Linked DNA regions of Struthio camelus. The protein of the gene in region 1 purifies or fractionates together with the protein of each later gene. This does not show direct contact. Links are inferred from orthologs where the notes say so. Each region holds a gene or a part of one and is shown in the gene's direction. Other genes may lie near its edges. The genes, in order: ZYX and ENAH.

Region 1 (7,354 bases):
GGGCAAAATTCTGTGCCCCTCTGTTAATGCTCGGCTGTAGAGCTCCCCCTCCGCAAACCCTGTTAGGAGAGGCATGCTGGGCAGGCAAGAAGGACAAACCCGTCTGCTCTAGCTGTCACGAGTCCTTACATCGCTGCCCTTAGCAACTTCTTGTTTGCAGAGCAGAGCTTCAGGGCTGCTCTAACTTATTCCAGCAAGGTCAAGAATTCAACTGGTGGAAGAGCGACTTAAAACTCCTTTGGACCTTTTCTCCCTGCTTCCTGCACCTTACACCATGAATGCAACAGTGACACTGACTGAGATGTCATAGTAACCTAGATAAGCATGTGCTCCTCAGTGAGCACTACCTGGCTTGAGGGATGAATGCTGAGGTGAGTTGTGGAGTGGGGAACTGATAGGGATTGTCCCCTCCAGCGGTCTCATCCTCCCCTTCCTGCACACAGGCAGAGTGTGATCCTAGGTCAGAGCAGGGATGGTGGGGAGGAAGACATACTTCCAGCAAAGCTAAAGATAGTGGCCTCATGCCCAGGAGAGGGGTCAGCAATAGCAGAGAGCAAAGCAGTTTCAACAAGCTCTGTTTTTTAACAATTTGTTCCAAATCCACACTGAGGTGCTTCCAACATAACCCTTAACACAGACCTATGCTATAAATTGATAGCTGTTTGTTTGTTTGCTTTTTAAGAGCTGCCTGCTCAGCATTATTTATCTTTTCTAGAAAACAATGATGAATCACATCTACTAAATATATATTTCCAGATGTATTATAAATATAATATAAAAATCTTATAAACGCTGGAACAGCTTCTTCCTGAGAAACACTACTTATAAAATACAAAGCTATTGTCACCATCCCTACCTGCTTAGTAATTTTATTCATTTCATCAGTTAATTATTAGGGACATAGATTGTATCTCAGTAAGTGATATATGCTTTACCTTTTCCATTAGCTGCCCTTCAAACCACTTAAAAAGAAAAAAATTTACAAACATATATCTTGCCACCTAATGTTCCACTTTTAGCTAAAAATTGCCAATTTAAAATGTCATCCTACTGTCTATCATTCATCCTAATATTAGTTCCCATTTCCCATCCCCAAAGGCCTAACTAGCAACCATGTGTATCCATGAGCCATGAAAAGGCTCTGAAAAATGATTGTTCACTTTCTTTTCCTTCTCTGATCCTTTCTAAAATCCTTATTTAAAGCTCTGTGGCCTGACCAACTACTATCAGAGAAAGATATAGAGAAACTTTGGCCATGTTTCTTGCAAGATGCATCTTCAGCAATGGAAAATATACAGAGGCCTACTAGCTTCATGTGTAGAAGATATTTGCAAAAATAATATCTATATCAGATCTATAGAGGCAGGAATCACCCTCCAGGGACTGTTGCTCCAGTATGCTTCTCTGCTGGCCTTCTGCCACTGGCAATATAGATTCCCCAGTAAATGTTTCTGCTGGCAGAGCTCTCTATAATTGCTTCATAGAAGTAATGGAGTAGAAGCCACAAGAGTTAATTCTGCATCAAGCTGTATTAGCTACTGATAGAATTTTCATGTGGACTGAAGAGGAAATGAGATAGCAAAATGACTCATACCATTCTTTCTTGTTCAGAGCTCCTTTGGTGCAGAAGAGAAACAGAAAGGCTTTTTATGAGATTCAAAGAATCAAAAAAGCATCATCAGTGTAGTTCAGAACCTGAAAAGGTTGTAACCTGTCTGACATAAGTGGAAGACTGGATCCTCTTAAGTTGCGAAAATATTTCAGGCTGTATAAATCAACTGAAGATTAGAAGGGACAAGAGGTAGAGGTACAGGCATAGGATATGTTTGCATTACACACTGGGAGTATGAGTGAGCTCATGCTTACCTACACTCGCATCCAAGCAGATGTGATCTTGTTCTGCCTGCACCTAGAGTTCATAAAAAAACTGTATGAGAGTGCATTCGTGTGATGCTGAGACAAAACTAGTCAACCTACCCTCTCAGGAAGAGTATTTGTCAGAAAATCCTCATGGTGCTCAATAGCATTTTCCCGCATATTACTGAAGGGAACTAATGGTGGTCACCAAAAGATTATCTTTCCTCTTCCTCTGCATGAGGAGTTCTCGGAGTGGCTTATTCTGCCAAAGTAGAGACACACCTTTTGGATATCTTGGAATTATCTATTGACAACTGAGCACTGCTGGGATGTCCCAAATTAAGGACAAACTTACTCAGAGGGATGAAATACTTCAGTGTTAGCCAGTTACCTTAAAATTACACTTATTTCAACCCAGGTTTAATTTTTTTAAAAAGGTATTTATTTATAAAATTAAAAAAATGTCCACAGTGGAAAGGTATGGCATCCCAACACATGAAGAGCAGGCAATTAGTGGGCTAGCTGTAATGTAACAACAGACAGCACTCCCACACCTGCTCTGCTGCAAGATCCTGGTTGTGTGATCTAATTTGGTAGTGCTCCCTGAAAGAACAATCAGCTTTCTTTGAAAAACACAGGTTTGGCATGTTGGTACACATCTGTATAAATGTTCAATATTCAGTGTTCACCACTTTTAGCTTCTCAACTTAATTTCACATTGGTGGTGTTAATTTTCTCACCTTACCTTGATATTTGCCTTCTATTAGTTTTTCTACAAGATTTATAGCTTTCTTTGCTGTCAGAACAACACTGCTGCGTTGTAGCTTTTTAATAAATGTATTACTCTCCCAACATCTTCATCCATGTCTGATTTTGATCTAGAGTCATGTAGAAGTGTGAGGTTCTGCTCTATATATACAACATTAGATCTCATCTTTCATACAGTTCCCATTTCTAGACTTCACAGAAGATTCACAAAAGAATTCACCATCTGGAACTAGGATGATGCAGTCTGTTCAGTTAGCATTTCGGTGATGCATGTGTAACACACTGACCTACTGCAAGTGATCATGTATCGCCTTTCAGTTGGGCAGGAGGAACCATTGCTCTGTGGAACTACAGTTTGGTATTACAGAATTAGTAAGTCTAGCCTGCTTCATTTGCTGCAGACTTCACCCACTCAACATCGTTCTGGCGGGTCTCTTCCATAAATCTATTCTGCCTCCTTGTATGTACATACCTTGTCTCTGAAAGCAGCTATGTGCATACTCGCATGGAACTGAGACTGGAGGTAGGCAGGGCCATGCTGTGAAATTCTGGTTTCTCTTGCCATGGCCTGGAGCTTTGCAAGTGATGCATTCAATGGGGAGATGAGTGAGCTCAAAGAAAAAGGACTGTTTTCCACCCCCACCCTGCTGGGAAGGGCTCAGCAGATGCCAGGAAATGAGAAAAAGGGATAGGGAAGTCCGGGAACATAAGAGAGGGAACTAGGTGAATCTGTGGTAGGAAAACTGAGAAGGCACAGGTTCCTCGCCATCTAGTAGTTAGTACTTAGAGGGAATGTCTGAGGAGTTGGAGAGTCAAAAGGCGGAGGTGGCATGCACTTGGAAAACAGACACCACCAACAGCATAAACATGAGCTGTATATTAGGGTGCCAATATTTTTGGTAGGCTCTGAATCCTATTTGGCTTTTTATTACATATGCTTCATTCCCTACTGAATATCTGATTCCCAAACAGTGAAACATCAGCTACTTCTAAATGTCAGTTGAATCTGTACTAGTGGTGTTGCTCAAACTGCATTTTTAAAAATAGTCTTGAAGCAGCAAATGTGCTTTTTAAATTCTCAGTGTTATGTAAAAGGCACAATATTTTTAGCCTTACAAAATATCAGTTGTCATCTTCTCACTCTCTCTCTTTGGTATGTAGGGGATGGGGACTGGAAGCTCTCAGATTATACATAATTGTTTGCGACACGGTTTTGGAGTTACACAAATCTTAATAAAACATTTTTTAAAATACCCAAAAGCTTAAAATGAAGTCTGAACAAAGAAGTTCTTGTTCTTTGTTATTGGTATCTCTTATTATCTCTTATCCCTTACAATTTACTGTATCTCTTACTGCAATGGAGAAATGCAGGCTGTTCAGTGTTCCCCTTCCCAAAGCAAGTGGACAACTGGAGCTGACCAAGGAGGCTTCTTTGCTTTCAGGATGTTCCATCTGAGAAGGCTGTCATCATCCAGTGCCTACCTATACATTGTGTGGATATCATATATGGATGGCTCTTGCACTGTTTTAAATTTACCATACCCTCGCACAAATCTACAATCTTTACTGTTTTGCTTTAAAAGCCTGTTTTCCATACAAGTATATACTTTCTTTTCTATCAAATCTCATTTTTTGTTTTATATTTTTAAGATAGAGGCTTGATGGGCAAGATTGGGAGGACACTGTTTTAGAGACCATGGCCATAAAGGCAGACAAGCAGGAAGCAAAAGGATTATTGCTGGTAGGTCCCAGCAACTCTTTTTATGAGGTTGAACACCAGGTGTGAAAGTGTTGGGAAGAAAGCTGTTGGTGGGAGGCCCAGTTATTTACAAATAGCTTTGTAAATACCCCATTTATTTATTTTGGCAGCAGTAAGTGTAATGCTGTCTCTGGAACCATCAGTCACTCTGCAGAAAATGGTTTGATAGGGCTTCTCTCATAACATGGCCCACCCTGTTTTCATCAGAAACCTGATGAGATCCCACTGGCACAGTTTCACAGGCATTTTTCACTGCCTGCTGTTCCCAACTTTCAGCCAGGGCTGTTGCAGACATCACTTGGGACTCAAGAATCCAAGGGAAGAAGTACATTTCCATAGGAAGCCTGACAACTGATGATCTCCATGTAGATTTCAGCCAGCCAAATGCATACCTAAAGCTGCTTACCTGGTAACTGAAGTGTTTTGGATAAGGGTAAGTAAAGATACCAAATAACTTGTTTCATGAGCCATGGAAGCAAAGGGTCAGGAGGTGTGCCAGGTTACCTAGGAGATATGGTCATCCTGTTGACCTTCATCAAGACAATTGGAAAATGCCCTGGTTGAAGGAAGTGCCTCTCCAGAAATGCACATCAATAGCTCAGTTGTTTAATGCTATGCCTCAAGTCCTTGTCCAGGCCATCTACCACTGATAGCGGTGACAAGCAGCGATGGTTCAGGTTTAATAGAAGGAAATCCCTTCTCATTGGGGTAAAATACCAATCCAGAAATTAGGCTATGCCTCTGTCACCTCAGCACATCTTTGGAGAACCAAATGGGCAAACTGTCAAAGACTTTGTAGTATGAGATAAACCACTTTTTGAAGACCTCTCCTGCATTTTAAACGGCAGCTGTGGCTACTGAGCTCTCAATATTACACAGACTATCTACAAAGTGCTGAGAATTGGTGGCCTGTAGCTACTACTCTCCTATTCTCCCCAGCCAGTAGCTCTCATACAGCGCTTGATCACGTTGCTAGAATTAACTTAGCAAACATCTTCTGTAAGGCCTTTCACATCGTTATGTTTTCAACCTACTGAAAATCATAATAGCTTGAAGGACAGCTCTCTCCCATACATTGTCACTTGTCACAGACCTGTAGCTGGTACTGAAAGCTGGTACTCCCTTGCAAGGCCCTGATAATTACACCCCCAGCCCCAGGAAACAGTCCAAGATTTGTGTCTCGTCTGTAATCATCCTCTTACTCATATTGGCAGTAAATTAATCTGCAAACATACTAGTAGCCACATGTACCAAGCCTGGCAACTGCAGAAAACTCCATACAGCTCCATAGTTCCTGCTTTTGCAAAGCAAGGCCTTGAGGAACTGCACCACTTAAAGTTGTGCTGAAACTGTGTTTTATTGTGCAGTTTGTAGATAGTGTTTTTCTTAATATTTTCGGCAAGCAGACTGTCAGACCGGGTGCCTATATTGTTTGTTTCTTGTTTTGCTCCAAGGCCTTGGTCCTTTCATCATCTATACTATGCACATTTTAGTTTGTGTCAGGACTTCAGTCTGGACTAAACCAACTATTTATTTTGGTGAGGCTCAAAAGAGAGGGTAGTTCACTTCAAGGTCCACACCTCTATAGGACTACACCAAGTTTCATTCTTCCTGCCCAGAACAATCTTCTTATGTACTCCTAGTGTTCTCACAAGTCCAATATGCTTTCATGCCATGCCCTGGCACATGCATTGCACATCTTTGTTAGTCTGCTACAAAAAGAGAAGATTAGCAGTCTGCAAAGCCACCCCTCCTTATTTAGCTGTGGGGCTTCTTCTGCAGCAAGAAAATAATGACACTCTGGTAGAAAGGGGCCACACGGAGACTGGAGAGATCAAGATACTATGCCAAGGTAACGTTGTTGAGACTGCCTATTGTTTGGCTGTAGCTCAGCACCTCTCTCCCTGCAATACTGAGTTGCACCAGATGCTTCTCTGGGAGGCCACCACAGAACTTCTCCCTTTGTATGAGCAGGAGGAAGCTCAGAATGAGACCCAGGGGAGTTGAGAGCCTGCTTTTTGCTGACTGGATCTGGGGGAGGAACCCTTTTTCAAGGATGACATCCTCCCACACACACACATACTAAATCCCCTAGCATGCAACTAGCTGTGCACCCAGCTCTGGTGAGTACATATCTTTGATTACACTTATTTGAAGGAAGGAGCATAGCATATTTGTGCCGTGCTTAGGAGAATACACTCCATACCAATGAGCAGACAGGAGACTTCTGCCACAAAAACATGGCACTTAGAAAGAGTCTTGTACCATGCCCAGGTACAAGGGCATGCCTGGCAGGCTCCCAGGTCTGTTTCTTTGACGGACAGCTCTGGCAGACAATATTTGTGCATAACAACTAAACATGTCACAACTTGTCTTACTGGAGGCAAGGCATGGGGCATAAGGTTGTGGATATGACAAGTGTATCAATGCTTTCCAAGCATAATTGCCTCTGATAGGCATCCATACCCAGCCATACACATACCAGCCTTGTCCCAATTCAGCTGCGTCCCACTGCTTTCTCCAGTCCTTGGCTGACCATTCTCAGTTTTCTGGAGTCACAGAACAGCTCATACTCCAGCTGTGGGGAAGAGATATCCACTGGAACAGCCTCCTTGCTTTCTTAGTCTCTCAGGCCCAGAGCCCTGCAGCAGTGAGCAGGAGGGAGAACACTGTGAGAGAGAGATGAAGGCCTCCAATGAGCACTCCCAGGAGCCATGGAAATGCAGGCCCGCCATCCTGCTGAGACATGGACAGAGGCAGCATGGACCCTTGGGGACAGGAGCCAATGGGACAGAAGTGGGACTGAACCCAGTCGGTTGTTCAGAGACCTCTCTAGGAGAATTCATGATCTTTGCAAATAACATTCTTAACTGCATGCCATTTTTACAGATACATGAGCATGATGAGGGTCAGAAGGACTGGGGGCTCTGTGGTCTCCAGTGTGGGCCTCTGCATTTGACTCTATGGCAT
Region 2 (7,975 bases), on another chromosome or scaffold:
TTCATGATAATCCTAGGGGGGAAAAACAATCCCTTTTTATTCAAAGAATTTTTGCTTAAATATTTGAGTCTATTGGGAACAGACTGAAAGACACATACCGTTACTGCAGACTCAGGTCTACAGAGGTTTGTGGTTAGATTTTCTTATGCTATTTGACAATATGAGGGGCACTATGAGGAACCTTGGTGGAAAGACACTTAGTGGAAAGCTTCAGCTGTTGTTTTCATTCCCTCTTTGGAGGTGCTTGATGGAAGATCTATAAATTGTTTACTTGTATAACAAGGGGCAGGGTATGCTGGTAGAAAGACTGAGCTTCACATTCAGGCGTCAAAGGACTGTGTTTGATGGCAAAAGGAAACTTGTTTCCTTTTCTGGTGAGGTTATGTTTGCCTTTTTAAAACAAAACAAAGCAAAAATATTATGCCTTTAAGAAAAGACCTTGCTGACTATTCCTGTATTTTTCTGCGGAGTCATTCCAGTAATGATAAATGTTTATTTTAGCATTCTTAAAAGATTTTTACAGCTAGCAACCGCTCTGTCCTGAAGATGGTTGAGGAATTCTGCCTACTTTCCTAAGTAAAATAAAGCTAAAGAGTTCTTGGTTCAAAGCATTTCCTTTAATAGTGTGCTGTGCAACACTCCAGCAGGCGGCTGACTCATGGCAACCTGAAATTGAAAATGACTTGGGGGTGAGGGAAGCAAAGAAGAGGACAGGAAGCCAATATATTTTAACTATCTCTATATAAAGTCTGATCCTCCTCTTGTTCAACTAACCATGACCTCGTGGAATTGGTAGAGACATCAGCTCTGTGTCTGGTCCAGATCAAAATATATATTGGTGAATTAGATTCACATAATCGGTGGTGAAAATAATATATTAAATTACTTAATTCAGTTCTGTTTGGAGAGTCTTAGATGTTAATAGGAACATACTGACAGCCATTTCTTTTCAGCCTGCCCTTTATTTTTGGAAAGCCCTTCACTATCAACAGAAAGAAAGCATCAGCTTTCTCACTGAAACTGCTTTTTGTTGCAATTCTCTCACTCTATTATATTTTAAATTGTGTTTTCTTTCTATGTTACCATTCTACAGAAAAGAACCCAAACAAGTGAAAAAAAAAATCTTTCTACTTATTCAAAAACCAAACTCTAGACACATTAAGTAAAAGTAATAACCTTCAAAAAAAAAAAAACACCACCAAAAAACCCACTTCTCCCCACTCCAGAAACCTCTCTGACTGTGTTTCCTGCATTATGCTATTTACAGAGCATTAAAGAAGGAAAAAGTGATGTGGTATAACTGCTGCTGTCCGGGGACACTGATTATAGTAAGACGTGTGAAGATCTCAGCTACTTTTCCATCTTAAATACAAACAGACTCTCCAAAAAAACTGACGACTGCAAATGGAAGATTGTTTCAGAGAAAATGGGGAAACCTCACTGAGAGAGGATGGATTAGGCTGCCTTTTGAAGCTTTTGGATTCCCTCAGTGTCTCCAGAATATTAGTCATGCATCCTGCTCATGCCCCGCTCTTAAGGGTGATCCATGCTGATGATATGAGATGGACTCAGCTGGGTTTGCTCAGGAACAGAGTGCCAAGCCTCTTGCATCTGGCTGATACTAACCAGAAACACATTTTCTTCTGTTTTATGCCTGGGTGAGCCATTTCTCTAGTATTTAAAGAGCCTTCACTAGTCAGGTTATTTGGAGAGGAGGCACACCATACCACTCAACCTGAATTAGCTTAGCCTTTGGAAACATCTGAGCTCCAACCCTCAGTTGCAGCTGAGCGGCACAAAAGGCAAGAGAGAGGGATGGGAAGTCACTTTGGGGTATTCTGAGCTGCTTGGATCCTGAGCAAGGAGGACACTAATACTGTTCTTTGACACCAATTACAAGAGCCTTTAGACGGCTCTGCATCGTAAGCTGTCGGTGGCCCCAGGTTATTAGTGAGACACCATCAGCTACGAAGCCTTTCTGCCACATTCTGTTTGTCATTGCAAGAAAGGAGAGAGGTGGGAGGTGATATGAAGGGCAGTATCACCAATGCTATGCCACTCGAGGATCCCATCAGCTAGAAAGGTAACGGGAGAATTGCACAGAGTGATTCGGACACATCTAACGATTACAGCTTGAGAAAATGCAGGCCAGTTACAGGAGATTACAGATTTCTCAATGTATAATTCAGTATCGTAAGTATGTACATGGTACAAACTTCTGCTGCGAGACTACTTTAATTCCTTGACAATAACAGTGCTAAATTGACCTGGGGGAAAGAAAGACACACTTAACGTTTATAATTGATTTCTGCCCTATATCATTTTGGCTCCTCGCCTTCTCATGTAATGCTAATACGAGTTATTGCAGATTTAATATTTTGTTATAGATTAATTCAATGGTATTTTTGACTAAGCTAGTGTCCAGAATGACTTTGCACTTGGTGACATCTGTGATGCCAGCATGCAAAATGATTCTTCTGGCATTTTTACAGATTCTCTTGTACCCCACAGTATGTCTTGAGAAATCAAGCTATGACCATGCCTGATTTGGCTAAGAATATCAACTAATATAACACAAGTAATGATAATAGTTTTTTGCAGGAGTAACAGCTTCCGGCTATTTTCATTCCTTCTCAGGCAGACTTGTTGCCCAGGCATACTTTCAGTGGGTTTTACATACTTGTTACAGTCAAACTTCTTTTAGGCTTGACTGACAGGACGGAACGGTCTTATCAGAACAGTCACATTAGCATCCTGATTTTTGGCTAGTACAGAATAGCTGGGGTCTTAGAACAGAATCCTTGTTCAGCTGACTCTCTGTGCCATTCCTTCTACTGATGAGAGCAAGTCCAGTTAGATACAGATCTTAATGTTTATATTTGGCTGCCTTCAAGATATTTTTCACAGTCTGAATGACTTCCCTTTCAAACCTTTTATTTGGAGGATATTCTGGTGATAGTAAGCTCTAACTTACAAAATTTGTGATTCTTTAAGACCTGAAGTCCATTGTCAGTCATTAGAGTCCTGAGCATTCAGTAGAAGCATTTAAGATAAGCATATTTATTAGATGAAGTCTCCTATTTCAGACTGCATTGACGTTGCTGTCAAAGGTACCCACTTACCTGTTAAGATGCTGCTCTTCTAATTATTCATCTGCATTTTGTGATTCACCCCTATAGCAACATTTTCATTTACATCATCTCTATGCCAGTAAAAACATGTTAATTTTCTCACTAAATTGGTATTCGTTGGCTTGTGTTTCAGAGCCTATCCTCTTTTTTGAATTAGTATTTTCAACAACTGGACATTTTTTATTGACTAGCTCGTCTTTCACTGTCTTACTGAAACCGTTAGTTGACAGTGGTTGACCCTGTCTCAGATACCAGGCTGTTCAAAGAAGAGGTTGTATGCAGCGTTGAATAAACGAGATTCAGAGTAAATAACTGAGGTTGTGAAACCTAGATCAGAACTTTATGAAGAAGGTACGTACATATTTATCTCTAAAATCCTATTCAATTTTTGCATATAAAATCTAGAAACTTATAAAGGAGGTATATATACATTTATTTATAAAAACCTATATATTATTAATATCTAAAATCTAGAAAAAATGATAATTTAAAAGGAAAAATTAAAGCAGAGATGTAAAAGGACTGAGATACCATCATGTCAGTGAAGACTGCAGAGATACTTGCTCATCCTTTCCATTAACTGGAGACCAAAGAGAATGGGGGTATTCAGTGTTTGGCAGAAATTAGCTGAACATGAACTGGGTTAAAGTTATGTATAACATGTGTTTCACCCACTGGGAGTACTAAAAGCAAAACATAAATCTGTATTTAGTACGGACGTGGGGTTAGTGAAAGATGTAACAGCAAACGTGCATGAGGCTGAAATAACATTCCCGTATTTCTAAAAACACATCTAGGCCTCGTGCTTCCAAGAGCACAGAAAGGCAATTGGAAGAACTGCAGCACCAGCGAGTAATTTACCTGTAGAGTTCATTTAGTGGGCTGCATTGATTATGTATTTTCCTAGAAATGAAGAATCCAATTCTAGCACTTTGCTCATGTGTTGATTACTTGCAAAGTAAGAACGCGATCCAGAAAGCAGGGAGAGAAACGTTGCGGGGAAAGGACACGGTCTGGTGGCAGAAGCGTTCAAAATCAGTGCGAGCGAGTCTGCACCTTGGGAAAACACTTCAGATTTCGCTCCTGGCACCGCAGGGATGAGCAAACCAGTCATTTAATGCCGAGGCTGAGCTTGCCCTCAGCAAGCCCGAGCAGCCCCCGCCGGCTGCCCGTAACCCTGCCTCGCAGCCTGCACCCGCCTGCTCCCCGGGAACCGCACCGGGAGGGAGGCGCAGGCCTGCCGCCCCCGCCGCTCTCCCTTCGCGAGCCCGGAGGCGGCCCGGCGGCAGCGAGGCCTGCGACCGGCCGGCCCCGGCCCCGGCGACGAGCACAGCGTCCCGCCTCGCCTTCCCCCTCGCACCCGCGCCTGACGCCGGCCGGCCGGGCGGAAGGGCCACGGCGTCGGGGCTCCTGGGCACGGAAACCAGGCCCGGCCGCGCCCCGGTGGGGGGGGGAAGGCGGGGGCACCGCCGAGCCCCTTCCCCGGCGCGGCCTCCGCAGGGGAGGCGGTGCGGCGGGGGGCGTGGCCTCCGCGGCCCGCTCCTCCTCCTCTCCCCCACCCCCCGCCCTCGCGCGCCGCGCCGCGGCGCCCCCCCGCCCGGCCGGTGTCTCGAGCCTGCCTCGCGCTATCCCCGGTCCTGCCCATTCTCTGTCTCTCCTTCCCCCCCCCCCGCCCATTCCCGCGCGTTGGTTCGCTCTTCCCCGCCCCTTCTCCCCCACCTCTGCCTTCCCCTCCCCTCCCCTCGCCGCCGCCCCCCCCCGGCTCCCCGCGGTGGTCTGGCCCGGCCCGGCGGCGGAGGGAGCGAGGAGACGGGCAGGGAGGCGCTGGCGGCCGAGGGTCTCGGTGTCCGTTGACGCGCCGGCCGCTGCGAGGCGGAAAGCGGCGGAGGGGAGCGGAGCGGGCGGCCGAGCGAGCGAGCGAGGAAGCGGGAGCGGCTCCCCGACCCCGGGCAGCACCATGAGGTGAGGGGCCGGCCCCGGGGAAAGGCGAAGGGGGGGGGCGGTTAACGTCTCCATCCCCCCCCCCGCCCCTAACGGTCCCCGGGAGTTGGGGGGGGGGTTCGGCTCGCGGAAGGGGCTGAGCTGAGGGGGAGCCCCGCGGTGGGGGAGGGGCCCATTGTTAGCGGCGGGTGGGGGAGGGGCGGCCCGGCCGTCCCCGTCCCCCGCGGCGGCGGCGGCGAAGTTGATGGCCGAGGAAGGGGGGGGGGAGCGGGGCCCTGCGGCGGGGGGGCCGGCGCGGTGCTCCCGGCGCGTCCCCTGTGGTCACCCCTGCTGCGGCTGGGAGCACGTCGGAGGTGTGCCCCGCCACGGCGCGAGGGGGAAGCGCCTGGCTGCTCTCTCTCTCTTTCTTTCTTTCTTTCTTTCTTTCGTTCTTTCTCTCTCTCCTTTTTTTTTTTTTTCCTTTCCCCTCTTAACCGGCGGGTGTTGCATTGCAGCAGCAGCTGGGCTTTTCCCTGTGTAATCAATAAATAGAAGTCGAGCGCGGGGAGGGGGGGGGCGGAGGGAGGAATCCCCCTTTCGGCAGCCGTGAAAGTGTCGCGTTTGGAGGTTTTCAGATGTAAACACTGAGGTGGACGTTACTCATCCCCTTTTGAGGGGTCTGGGGGAAGGCACACGTAGGTTTCTGCCCTCGTTTGAACGAGAGACTGGAGCTTGATGCGGTCTCATTCATTTGTAGATAATTTTCTGCGCCCGTGGCTCGCCCCCCCCCCCCCAATTTCTTTTTAGTGCCTGTTTTGTTTCCATAATCTTTTTTTCTGGATTGGTGCAAGACTTCGTAAGAGACGTGGCTTGATAGCCTAAATGCTGATATATTTGGGGGCGGGGGGAACGTTATGCTCCGTAGGCCTGTCCTTTAGTTAGGAGGGGAAAGTGAGTTACCGTCCTTCCTCTCAGAGGTACCGTCTTACTTGCGGTTGGATTTGAGTCGTCTTTGTGTTAAGGATTATTGATCAAAAGTTGTAAGGCCCTTCGGGGTATAACGCAGTAAAACTTGTGTGATGAAAATCAACAAATTCTTTTGCTGCAAAAAAGTGTCAAGCCATTAGAACTCTGCATAAAGTCAAGTAAAATTCTAATCACATTTTTGAACTGTATTTTTAAGGGTTTGTGTGCGTGTGCACGCCTTAAATGCGAGCAGTAACTTTGCAGTGGGAAGCATGGGTATTTTCTCCCTGCTGTTTTGTTTAAAATTTAGTCTAATGTTTCTCTCTGTTTTTCTTAGACCGTAGGTATTTATGTACTGTATTATTTTAAGCTTTTGTTCTGTATTACGGCAACTTATTTTCACTTATTCATGTTGCTATGTACAAGTCAGATGCCCTGCGAGAGTAAGAAGTTTCGACTTAAAAAGCTTACAGTTCATGAATTCTTTAAATGATTTTTTTAAAATTTTATTTTGATGATCTTTAACACAATGAATGCTATTAATTTAGCACAAGTTGGTATAAATATTTTGAGAAACTCTTCTTGTATAATTTGGGCTTTTATTCTGGCAAAAAGTACCCTAATTGCGTGACTGAGGCTGAGTGAAGTAAGTTATACCAGCAAAAGTGTCCTTTTGCTAGTGTAACTTTTATGTGTTAGGACTTCTGCCAGCTCAGAGCGCAAGTATTTCTCTTAAGCAGTGTAACAGGAAAGTGTCTAGGTTGGACCTGCCCTTAGGTTGCCTGTTTAGATGTTTGAATAATGACTTTAAACATTCAGTAAATGTAGGCAAATGCTCTTATAATGTGTCTGAAATTTCTGCCTGCTTGTGCAGAATGTCAAGCTGCTAAGAGGGAAATGTAGTGTCAAGTTGAGTAGTTGCTTTGAGTGGTCATTGGGTAATTCAAGGAAATCTGACTTCAAGAACTCTGCTTCCAAGCCTTGTGAAAAAAGCAGCAAATGGTACTAATTAAACTAAACAAGTTAAGAAAATGATGTGGCTTAAGCAGTATTTTCCCTATCTAGGCGCTATTAAATTGACTCAGTTTTGTTTAATTGGCCCAGCTTCAGTGCGAGGGCAAGCTTTCACTGAACACGCTCTCTTCGGACTTGTTTAGACGAGGATTGGTATATCTGAAACATGTTTAAACCAGTCTCTTCACAGTATATTGTGCTTGAGTAATGTCTTTTAATGGGTATTTGCTGGTCGAGGCAAGTCATGATTGGGGGAAGGAGTGAGAAAGTGGATAGAATAAATGATCTGCCAGTGTTTAATATATGGCTTGTCTATTTGCAAGTGGTGTTAAAACTGTTTTCTAGTTAAGTATACAGTTGGCGCTCTGAGTACAAAAAAGGAATAAATACTGTAAGTCATTCTGAAATGAGCTGAAAAAAATAGCCTTCTGTTTCTGTGATGTCCTTTGAAACACACACGTTTGAGACTATTCTTCAGCCATCCTCAGCCTGAAATAATTCCGATGACCTCTTGCGAAGATCTCACCCCTTGTCTGGGACGGTTAGCTGGTCAGTTATCAAACAGCTAACTAGTTTTCCTTTTGTCAGCTAAAACTAAATACTATTGTAAAGAGCATCGAAATATTATAAAATAACCAACAATTCAGTAACACGCAAACATCAGCAGTACAAATTGACCACAGCAATTAACTTTTTTCAGTGGTCTGTTTTGAATTTGAGTGAATGTTATATGATGTTTGGATAGCATGTATTAGGCATTGTAGGTTGCAGATAAAACTGTGAATCTTAGACGTCCCAGTTTAAATGTCTAGCCCGTGTATGAAGTTACTTGTTTCGGGAGCCGAGATGAATAGGGCTTGTGTGCATCTCTCTTCCCCCCTGCTTAGGTAAACAGTTGATTCCCCTGAACACCTGTTGCTCTTACTGTTTTGTGGTTGGCTGAC

Evidence for each region.
Region 2: the proteins of ZYX (region 1) and ENAH purify together in Homo sapiens (co-immunoprecipitation; 4 studies listed by BioGRID and IntAct, counting the BioPlex papers as one, with this or other methods). This does not show direct contact. The link is inferred for Struthio camelus from reciprocal best matches to the Homo sapiens genes ZYX and ENAH.

What each region holds. Positions count from the first base shown.
Region 1 is NC_090942.1:90,287,255-90,294,608, forward strand, and holds the start of ZYX (zyxin), read left to right. Parts: upstream 1-4,274; 5' UTR 4,275-4,366; intron 4,367-4,660; 5' UTR 4,661-4,817; intron 4,818-6,358; 5' UTR 6,359-6,507; intron 6,508-7,273; 5' UTR 7,274-7,354. UniProt on the Homo sapiens protein: Adhesion plaque protein. Binds alpha-actinin and the CRP protein. Important for targeting TES and ENA/VASP family members to focal adhesions and for the formation of actin-rich structures.
Region 2 is NC_090944.1:125,989,763-125,997,737, forward strand, and holds the start of ENAH (protein enabled homolog), read left to right. Parts: upstream 1-4,833; 5' UTR 4,834-5,088; coding exon 5,089-5,093; intron 5,094-7,975. UniProt on the Homo sapiens protein: Ena/VASP proteins are actin-associated proteins involved in a range of processes dependent on cytoskeleton remodeling and cell polarity such as axon guidance and lamellipodial and filopodial dynamics in migrating cells.